Saccharomyces cerevisiae S288C: one gene and its partners. The main gene of each other region encodes a partner of the protein of the gene in region 3 in a complex. Each region holds a gene or a part of one and is shown on either strand. Other genes may lie near its edges. The genes, in order: RSM19, PET123 and MRP51.

Region 1 (2,529 bases), on a different chromosome or scaffold from region 3:
CCACGTTCCCGTTAGTCAAACGGACCCTGCACGCCTTTCTCTGCGCAGAATTCGGCTTCTTGGGCTTTAAAACCATTACACGTAATACGACACCCTTCCGCTGGGGACACTGATCCAGTTGTGGAGCTGTACTTATCTTCTTGCGTCTTGGAGGCCCGGAGCCTCTTTTAATCTGATTCAATGTCGCTTGCATTGTCGTAGTGGAGGAAAACAATCTCTGCGCCTGTCTCAAGGGCGTACACCATGTGTTGGACATAAACCTCGACAACATGGCTCTTGTTGGCCTGCTTCAATTCTGGTGTACCTGTAAGTTCTCCGTCTTTTCCCTGGTTATATGCGTTTTTTCTCCCCAAATCGTTTTGTCGCTCGGGTAAGACTGAAATGCTTTTAAAAGCACTATTACTGTTTATTATGCTATATATATATATATATACAGCCCGAGTCTGGCTTGATCTTATTTACATGATATATCATCTAGAAATCTATATACACTAGATCCCTCATTTGTTCTTGGTTTGAGTATAGCTGAAACGCTTCCTGGTAGGTGCGAACTCGCCCAGTTTGTGGCCCACCATATCTTCTGATATTTCAATAGGTACGTACTCCTTACCATTGTGTATTTGAAATTTCAGTCCCACGAACTGAGGAAGGATGGTGGCGGCCCTTGCGTTTGTTCTTATTGGAGTGCCCTTAGTCATGGCCTCCCTTATGGGTAATGGCACGATGTTGGGGCCCTTCCATACGGACCGCGATAAAAGTCTAGCTGCCGGTTGCATTTTATTTTTGGTGGACACTACTTCTGCCGATGCTGTACTGCTCTTGCAATGAACCTCACCGTTTTAAGTCATGGTTAGATTCTTACTAGGCGCTTCCAATTGCCATTTCTTGCTCAGCCATAACCGTGAATAGTGATCCAAACGCTAATGCCGGGTGATGCTTAAAATTTGAAAAATTATTGCAGATTTGTATTATATAGAAAGCATAACTGGCGATGAGATGTGCTCGAAACTGGACACCTTTACCATTGGTGACCGGTAGTGACAATGTTTGCATCGAGATTTGACCCTAGCCAATTGACTGCTCCTGCAGCTAGCGCACCAGAAGGAATCGTCGGAACTACTCCCCCGGCCATTGTGCCTTTAAAGAGGCAGGCTACTGAATCTGATAATGAAGAATATGGCTCTCACCAAGATTCTGATGAGAGTTCCAACTCTAGTTCAGAGGAAGACGAAGACCGTATGCAAGTAGATTATGGGGCTAGTGAAGAGGATTCGAGTGAAGTGGAAGAGGAAGAGAGTAAGCCAAGTACTCACAGCACAGTGCTATCGAGATTCAAGCAAACAGTATCATTGCAAGAAAGGCTAGGTGCATCTGATATTGCTGAGAGTAAGGAAGACGAAGGTATTGAAGACGAGGCGGCCTCAACTCACCAACTAAAACAGATTCCTCAACCTGAATTCGTCAAAAACCCAATGAATTTGAATACAAATTCATTACAGTTCAAATCTACGGGTTGGTTAAATACTGAGAAGATATATTATGATAATTCCTTGATCAAACCGTTCTCGGATTACGCAAATGAATTAGAAGCAAAACTACTGCAGAATATTTGCAAGAATTTCTCTACAAACACTTTTCCCATCCAATCGATCATCCTAGACTCCATATTACCGGTATTGAACTTCACGTTGAACGTATCTAAGAGAAACTTCACCAGAAGAATCGGTGATATTCTTGTAAATGCTGCTACCGGTTCAGGTAAAACTTTGGCTTACTCCATTCCTATTGTTCAAACCCTCTTCAAGAGACAAATTAACAGACTGCGTTGTATAATCATCGTCCCCACAAAACTATTGATAAACCAAGTTTATACTACGTTGACAAAGCTAACTCAAGGGACGTCGCTTATTGTGAGCATTGCCAAATTAGAAAATTCTTTGAAGGACGAACACAAAAAATTATCAAATTTGGAACCAGATATCTTAATCACTACACCTGGTAGATTAGTAGATCATCTAAATATGAAATCGATAAATTTGAAAAACCTAAAGTTTTTGATTATCGATGAGGCTGATCGTCTTTTGAACCAGTCCTTCCAGGGCTGGTGTCCAAAACTAATGTCCCATTTGAAAACGGATAAATTAGATACACTTCCAGGGAACGTGATCAAAATGATCTTCAGTGCGACATTGACTACCAACACAGAAAAGTTAAACGGCTTGAACCTTTACAAACCAAAGTTGTTCCTGAAGCAAACCGATAAATTGTACCAGCTACCTAACAAATTGAATGAATTTAACATCAACATTCCCACGGCGAAAAGTGTTTACAAGCCATTGATATTGTTGTATTCAATATGCCAATTTATGGCACATTCCCCCATTGCTGCAAAGATTTTGATTTTCGTTAAATCAAATGAATCGTCTATCAGATTAAGCAAGTTACTACAACTTATCTGTGAATCTCGCTCACAATCCAGCGTATTGAAAAACCTTCAAAATTTGGCGGTGAGTATTAATTCTGTCAATT
Region 2 (3,637 bases), on a different chromosome or scaffold from region 3:
TGTCACGGGTAGTTGCCCCGATGCTACAGGATGCTTGAACGCACCCGTCTTTAAAGTTTCCCAAAGGGTAGAGTATTTTGGTAATGATGAGTTTATCCTTACTTTCGCGATAAGAATCTTAATAGCCTTAGGCCTCCACGGATCTATATGTCCAATATCACAGGATTTTCTTAAGAATTGTTTTATTCGGTCTTGTAAGACAGCCTTTTTGCCCGTTATGGATAAATCCAGAGATTTGCATATTTGCTTTAACTCTAGAACCTTTAATTGTTCCATTTCATTTATTGCATCTTTTATTTCATTTATGAGTCCACCACCTGTGTTGGACAAAGGGTTCGTAAACATATAACTGGCATTATTATTATTATTATTATTATTATTATTTGACATGACACTTGCCATCGTGCTCTTTTCCCTTATACGTTTCTTGATTATCAGTGTATCGTTTGTGGTATTCTTAGTTCCTTGATATTTGCCTCAGTAATAGCCCTTTAAAGACCAACAAACGGATGACTATAGAAATGTTAATTTTAGTGTTATGTTATATGTGTGGTACTGAGCTGTGTTTGTTATATTATGCTCTGTGTGATAAAATAGCTAAAATGGATGGATAAATTAACACGAAAATTAACGAACAAAAATCAACTAACACACTTCAAAGCATAAAAAAAAGAAAAAAGAAAAAGAATCAAGAACAAATAATAAGCTCTGCTATAAGAAAATATATTATGTAAATAGTTTTGCGGTTAGTTTTTGACTTCCTTTATCACATTTTGTTGAACAATGATTTACTATACTAAAATATACTTAAGTTCTATGTTTTACTTTCAAGCCGTTATATCGACTTGTTCTTCTTGTATGTCACAAATATTGACAATACTCTCCTTCAGCACAGCAGTTGTACCCCTGGGGAATTTGTAGCTTTTCTGCTTTTCTTCTCTAACATTTGGAGTCAAGTAATTCCTCAAGTATTCTGCATCTTTACCTATTTCCATGACACACACATCCACATTAGAACCAGACCCCAAATCATTCCAGATACCAGCCTGGATTGCATCAGAGGCCAACTTTATGGCTTCCTCCTTCGTAAGGTCTTGCTTCCAGTGTGATTCCAACACAGCCATTGCCGCTAGAGAACCAGATCCTAGAGAAAGGTAGTAGCCCACGTCAGTAGAACCATGCGCATGAATGGAGAACAAATGAGATCCCGTAGGGTCTACACCTGCAACAATCAAATAAGCACCAATATGACCTTGGTACTTAAATAGGTGCTGCTTTAGCATTTGTAAAGCTGAGACCACTCTTGGTTCTCTCGAGGTATATAAGGAATGTAATTCAATGTTAGACCCGATCAACTGCGTAACTGCCTCAGTATCGGCGGCGGTACCGGCACCAGCACACCATATTTTGGGGGAAATTCTATGCAATTTTGCGCAATTCTTATCTGCGACAATTGGACCTTGTGTTGATCTTGTATCTGCTGCAATCACCACTCCGTTATTGAATTTTACGCCTACAATGGTGGTACCCGTGGAAGTTGCCTTAGGTTGTGTGTGCGAGTTTTCCGCTAAGAAATTATTTCTTTGATAATTGTCGAACGATAAACCTGCCATGCTCACTCAATTCTATTTTCTACAATCAGGTTTATGTGGGGGGAGTATTCCTGAAAAAATTTAACGCTTTACTATACAAACTCTCCACCTCAACTGATCACCCTTCTGCTGAATTATTAGTTTATCCTTTTCATCTTTCTTTTTGGTATTTTGCCACTCGGCCGGGTTATAAAATACGAAACATGGCCCTAATTTACCCGCTTTTACAATAAAGGGTTTGTAATGAGGGTAAAAATATTGGCCCTAATGAAAAATCACTAGCAACGGAAGTGCAAGTAGAACCCTGAAGTCGCCGAGTAGGAAAGTGATTCCCAAGAGGAGTAGAATAAAGAAGAGAATCTACATATGGATTATTTAGGTAATAGTTTCATTGCTGATTGTCAACAACAATAATAACAAGGATAATTGAAGTATGGGGAAAGGTGCGGCCAAGTATGGTTTTAAAAGTGGGGTTTTCCCCACAACAAGGTCCATTCTGAAGAGCCCCACTACAAAGCAGACTGATATTATTAATAAGGTAAAATCACCCAAGCCCAAGGGTGTTCTTGGTATTGGGTATGCCAAAGGTGTAAAACATCCAAAAGGATCACATAGATTATCACCCAAGGTAAACTTTATCGACGTGGATAATCTCATTGCGAAGACCGTTGCTGAACCCCAGAGTATAAAATCCAGTAACGGTTCAGCACAGAAAGTGAGATTACAAAAAGCTGAATTAAGAAGAAAGTTTTTGATTGAAGCATTTCGCAAGGAAGAGGCTAGGCTATTACACAAACACGAGTATTTGCAGAAGAGGACAAAGGAACTGGAAAAAGCAAAAGAACTGGAGCTAGAAAAACTAAATAAGGAAAAATCTTCAGACTTGACTATTATGACTCTAGACAAAATGATGTCTCAACCTCTTTTAAGGAACAGATCACCAGAAGAGAGCGAATTGTTGAAGTTGAAAAGGAATTACAATCGATCGTTGTTGAACTTTCAGGCGCACAAGAAAAAGCTAAACGAATTATTAAACCTCTACCATGTCGCTAATGAATTCATCGTTACAGAATCCCAACTACTAAAGAAAATTGATAAGGTTTTTAACGATGAAACGGAGGAATTCACTGATGCCTATGATGTAACTTCTAACTTCACGCAATTTGGAAATAGAAAATTATTACTTTCAGGTAACACCACCCTACAAACCCAAATTAACAACGCAATAATGGGCTCTTTGTCAAACGAAAAGTTTTTCGATATTTCTTTAGTGGATTCATATCTGAACAAGGATTTAAAAAACATTTCCAATAAAATTGATTCCAAATTAAACCCCACCTCTAATGGAGCTGGAAATAATGGTAATAATAATAATACAACCAACTTGTAAATAACTAATATATATACTACTTCAACATGTCATGTATTCGAAAGTGCCTTAGACGCATTACAACTAAAGAAAAGAAGAAAAAAAAATCAAATCGAGAATAAATATGCCCATGTATATACGTCACTTGCGAATTGTCTATTTCTCTCGTTCCCCTTTTTCTTTCAGTCCGCTGATGTTATCAATGTGATATTATCGCCTTTCAACAGGATCTTCCCCAAGGGCGTGCCCTTCTCCACATCTTCTTTACCATCGGCACTATTCACAGGAATTTCCACGGCTTCATCGATGACAACATTCATGAACTCATCAAATCCAACTATTTTACCCTTGATTCTTATGCCGATTTGCTCGAATAACCATATCGTTACTGGTGTTTGCTGTTGTAAGAAGTTAAATATGCAATTTATTGGTGGCACCATGGCCTTGGTTTTAACTTTGTTCGACATTCCAAGCCTCTTGTTTTTCGCTCTATATCCTTCCTGTGTTCCTTAATCTCCTTTCCTTAGTATTATCTCTTACCTTTACCATCTATTATTGTTATTTCACTTCAATTTTCTATTTCTCTGTTAGATGCTCAGGCTTTCGGTATAATTGAAAAAAATTTTCGAACATAAGGGATATTGACAAAAAAATAAATGAAGGAAAAAGGCATGAA
Region 3 (3,365 bases):
GACGATAAGATTAAGGGCGCTATTACTGCGGCGGTGAGAAAACTAGATCATGAATTAGGTATTCCAGAAGATGAAACTAAGACAAGGGGTAAGTTTCACTTTTTAAACAGAATCCATTACATGGCACCAAGCAATGAACCATGGGGTGAACATGAAATTGATTACATCCTATTTTATAAGATCAACGCTAAAGAAAACTTGACTGTCAACCCAAACGTCAATGAAGTTAGAGACTTCAAATGGGTTTCACCAAATGATTTGAAAACTATGTTTGCTGACCCAAGTTACAAGTTTACGCCTTGGTTTAAGATTATTTGCGAGAATTACTTATTCAACTGGTGGGAGCAATTAGATGACCTTTCTGAAGTGGAAAATGACAGGCAAATTCATAGAATGCTATAACAACGCGTCAATAATATAGGCTACATAAAAATCATAATAACTTTGTTATCATAGCAAAATGTGATATAAAACGTTTCATTTCACCTGAAAAATAGTAAAAATAGGCGACAAAAATCCTTAGTAATATGTAAACTTTATTTTCTTTATTTATTTACAGAACTCTGAATATACATTGATTGTTCACATTTTTTTTTTCTCTTCTCAATTTCCCTTGATTATATTCAAAAGGTTATTGGCCTCTTGAATGTTTCCCACTGATGGTCGACGTGCCCTTCTAGAGGTCAATGGTTTATAAATTGGTCTCTTATTGAAAAATTCTCTGGTCTTGTCATTTTGTGGTTCGAGTAATCTAGCGTGCATCGAAACAGAACCATTTTTCTCCATAGATGCCTCCAAGATCTCGAACAAGAACGTTTTCATTCTGATGAAATCTCCCATGGAGTTAAAGGAACTAGGTGGTGATTGGAAAAATACCACATCGGCCACAAACCCACCAATAGCTGCCAGCCATTTATTGTCGTTGTTCTCCTTAACAACGTTCAAGATTCTACCGGGTACTACAGTCCTTTGAATGACACCATTTGGTGAGTTTTTTAGCTTTCCTGGCAAGCTGTATGATAATCCACCTGTACCAATGATTTCAGTGTTAAATTTTTTATTCGTTTTTGTTTCCAACTTTTTGTTTAGAAACTTCACTACATAGTCTTCCAGCTTATTAGAATTCAATTTCAATTCATCCGGATGATTTTCCACCAGCCACTCTTTAAATTCATCTTGAAACGATCTAATTAGTGCTGTTATCTTCTTCAAACGCTTCTTCATAGCAGCAGGCGAAATATCTGTATCTCCTTTCATTTCTTTGAATAAGGACAATTTAGCATGAGACTCATCCTCAGGACGAGATATGTACTTGAAAAATGGATTTTGTCTGCCTATATTAGACACAATTGGTACTCCCATTTCTTGAAATCTTAGCCTATTCCATTGCGTACCGCCTCTAGGTTCGAATGTGGTAATTCTTTCCAACGTATCCAAATCGTTGTACACCAAATATCGAGATTTAATTTTCGAAGGAATAGCGGATTTCAACCCCCATTCTTGTCTGTATAGTGTCGATGGCTTAGTTTCGATGATTTGATGTGTTGGATGAAATTTTTTGCCAGTGTATGTCAATGGTTTATGATTGTTAGCTACTTGAGCTATTCTCGACCGTCCAAGCAACTCTGCCAATGTCATTTCGTTCAATTTTTTCTAAAATAAAGAAAAAGAAAAAGAAAAATGATCGAAACAGTCTCACCAAGGGTTGTAGCAAATGTCTGTATGATTTTTTTTCTTCATCACGGCACCTATTCGTATTGCTCCTTTAACTCTACATCTAAGTTCTTCATTCTTTGATTTCTCAAAACAAATATCACTGTCAACGTAAATATTACCCCGCGAGTTCTTTAACAATTTTAAGGGAAGGTTACTTAAGGTCATCTCTGAAGTAATGCCTTTATTTTATAACAAGGATTATTCATGATTATAAAAGATATCGGTAGTGTCAGTTAAAGGATATTTTAAGAAAAACCCCTTTGAGTGAAAGTATTACAAGAAAAAATGGCAGACTTGCCACAGAAGGTATCTAATTTAAGCATCAACAACAAAGAGAATGGTGGTGGTGGCGGCAAATCATCTTATGTCCCACCGCACTTGAGAAGTAGAGGAAAACCATCATTCGAAAGAAGTACCCCAAAACAGGAAGATAAGGTTACGGGTGGTGATTTTTTCAGACGTGCTGGAAGGCAAACTGGGAACAATGGCGGGTTTTTTGGCTTTTCTAAGGAAAGAAATGGAGGGACGAGTGCGAACTATAACCGCGGAGGCAGCTCAAATTACAAATCATCTGGAAATAGATGGGTAAATGGCAAGCATATACCGGGGCCTAAGAACGCGAAATTAGAAGCCGAACTGTTTGGTGTACACGACGATCCCGATTACCATTCATCTGGTATAAAGTTTGATAATTACGATAATATTCCCGTAGATGCATCTGGAAAAGATGTTCCTGAACCTATACTAGATTTTAGTTCTCCCCCTCTGGATGAGCTGTTAATGGAAAATATCAAACTTGCTAGTTTCACCAAACCTACTCCAGTACAAAAATATTCTATTCCAATAGTTACCAAAGGTAGGGATTTGATGGCATGCGCACAAACGGGCTCAGGTAAGACAGGTGGGTTTTTGTTTCCGCTCTTCACGGAGCTATTCAGGTCTGGGCCCTCTCCAGTACCCGAGAAAGCACAGAGCTTTTATTCTAGAAAGGGATATCCATCTGCTTTAGTACTTGCACCAACTAGAGAATTGGCTACCCAAATTTTTGAAGAAGCAAGAAAATTTACGTATAGATCTTGGGTTAGGCCATGCGTTGTTTATGGTGGCGCGCCAATCGGTAACCAGATGAGGGAGGTTGACCGCGGCTGTGACTTATTGGTGGCTACACCAGGGCGGCTGAATGACTTATTAGAACGCGGAAAAGTTTCTTTGGCTAATATCAAATACCTGGTATTGGATGAGGCTGATAGAATGCTAGATATGGGATTCGAACCCCAAATTCGCCATATAGTTGAAGAATGTGATATGCCCTCTGTGGAAAATAGACAGACCTTGATGTTTTCCGCCACATTCCCAGTAGATATCCAGCATTTGGCACGCGATTTCTTAGATAATTATATTTTTTTATCAGTAGGAAGAGTCGGTTCCACCTCAGAAAATATCACGCAAAGAATATTATATGTCGATGACATGGACAAAAAGTCTGCGTTGTTAGATTTACTGTCTGCAGAGCATAAGGGATTGACATTGATTTTTGTTGAAACGAAAAGAATGGCGGATCAACTCACAGATTTTTTGATCATGCAAAATTTCAAAGCTACAGCCATACATGGTGACCGCACACAGGCTGAACGTGAACGTGCCTTATC

The links.
Region 1: MRP51 (region 3) and RSM19 share a complex: the UniProt entries of both Saccharomyces cerevisiae proteins name them as parts of the mitochondrial small ribosomal subunit.
Region 2: MRP51 (region 3) and PET123 share a complex: the UniProt entries of both Saccharomyces cerevisiae proteins name them as parts of the mitochondrial small ribosomal subunit.

Annotation. Positions count from the first base shown.
Region 1 is NC_001146.8:694,552-697,080, forward strand, and holds RSM19 (mitochondrial 37S ribosomal protein uS19m RSM19), read right to left. Parts: upstream 777-2,529; coding exon 501-776; downstream 1-500. Other genes in the region: mitochondrial 37S ribosomal protein uS12m MRPS12, read right to left, coding at 1-271; putative ATP-dependent RNA helicase DBP6, read left to right, coding at 1,044-2,529. UniProt on the Saccharomyces cerevisiae protein: Component of the mitochondrial ribosome (mitoribosome), a dedicated translation machinery responsible for the synthesis of mitochondrial genome-encoded proteins, including at least some of the essential transmembrane subunits of the mitochondrial respiratory chain.
Region 2 is NC_001147.6:630,139-633,775, forward strand, and holds PET123 (mitochondrial 37S ribosomal protein mS26 PET123), read left to right. Parts: upstream 1-2,025; coding exon 2,026-2,982; downstream 2,983-3,637. Other genes in the region: SUMO ligase NFI1, read right to left, coding at 1-402; PUP1 (proteasome core particle subunit beta 2), read right to left, coding at 828-1,613; mRNA splicing protein SME1, read right to left, coding at 3,144-3,428. UniProt on the Saccharomyces cerevisiae protein: Component of the mitochondrial ribosome (mitoribosome), a dedicated translation machinery responsible for the synthesis of mitochondrial genome-encoded proteins, including at least some of the essential transmembrane subunits of the mitochondrial respiratory chain.
Region 3 is NC_001148.4:324,901-328,265, reverse strand, and holds MRP51 (mitochondrial 37S ribosomal protein bS1m MRP51), read right to left. Parts: upstream 1,639-3,365; coding exon 604-1,638; downstream 1-603. Other genes in the region: isopentenyl-diphosphate delta-isomerase IDI1, read left to right, coding at 1-402; putative DEAD-box ATP-dependent RNA helicase DBP1, read left to right, coding at 2,002-3,365. UniProt on the Saccharomyces cerevisiae protein: Component of the mitochondrial ribosome (mitoribosome), a dedicated translation machinery responsible for the synthesis of mitochondrial genome-encoded proteins, including at least some of the essential transmembrane subunits of the mitochondrial respiratory chain.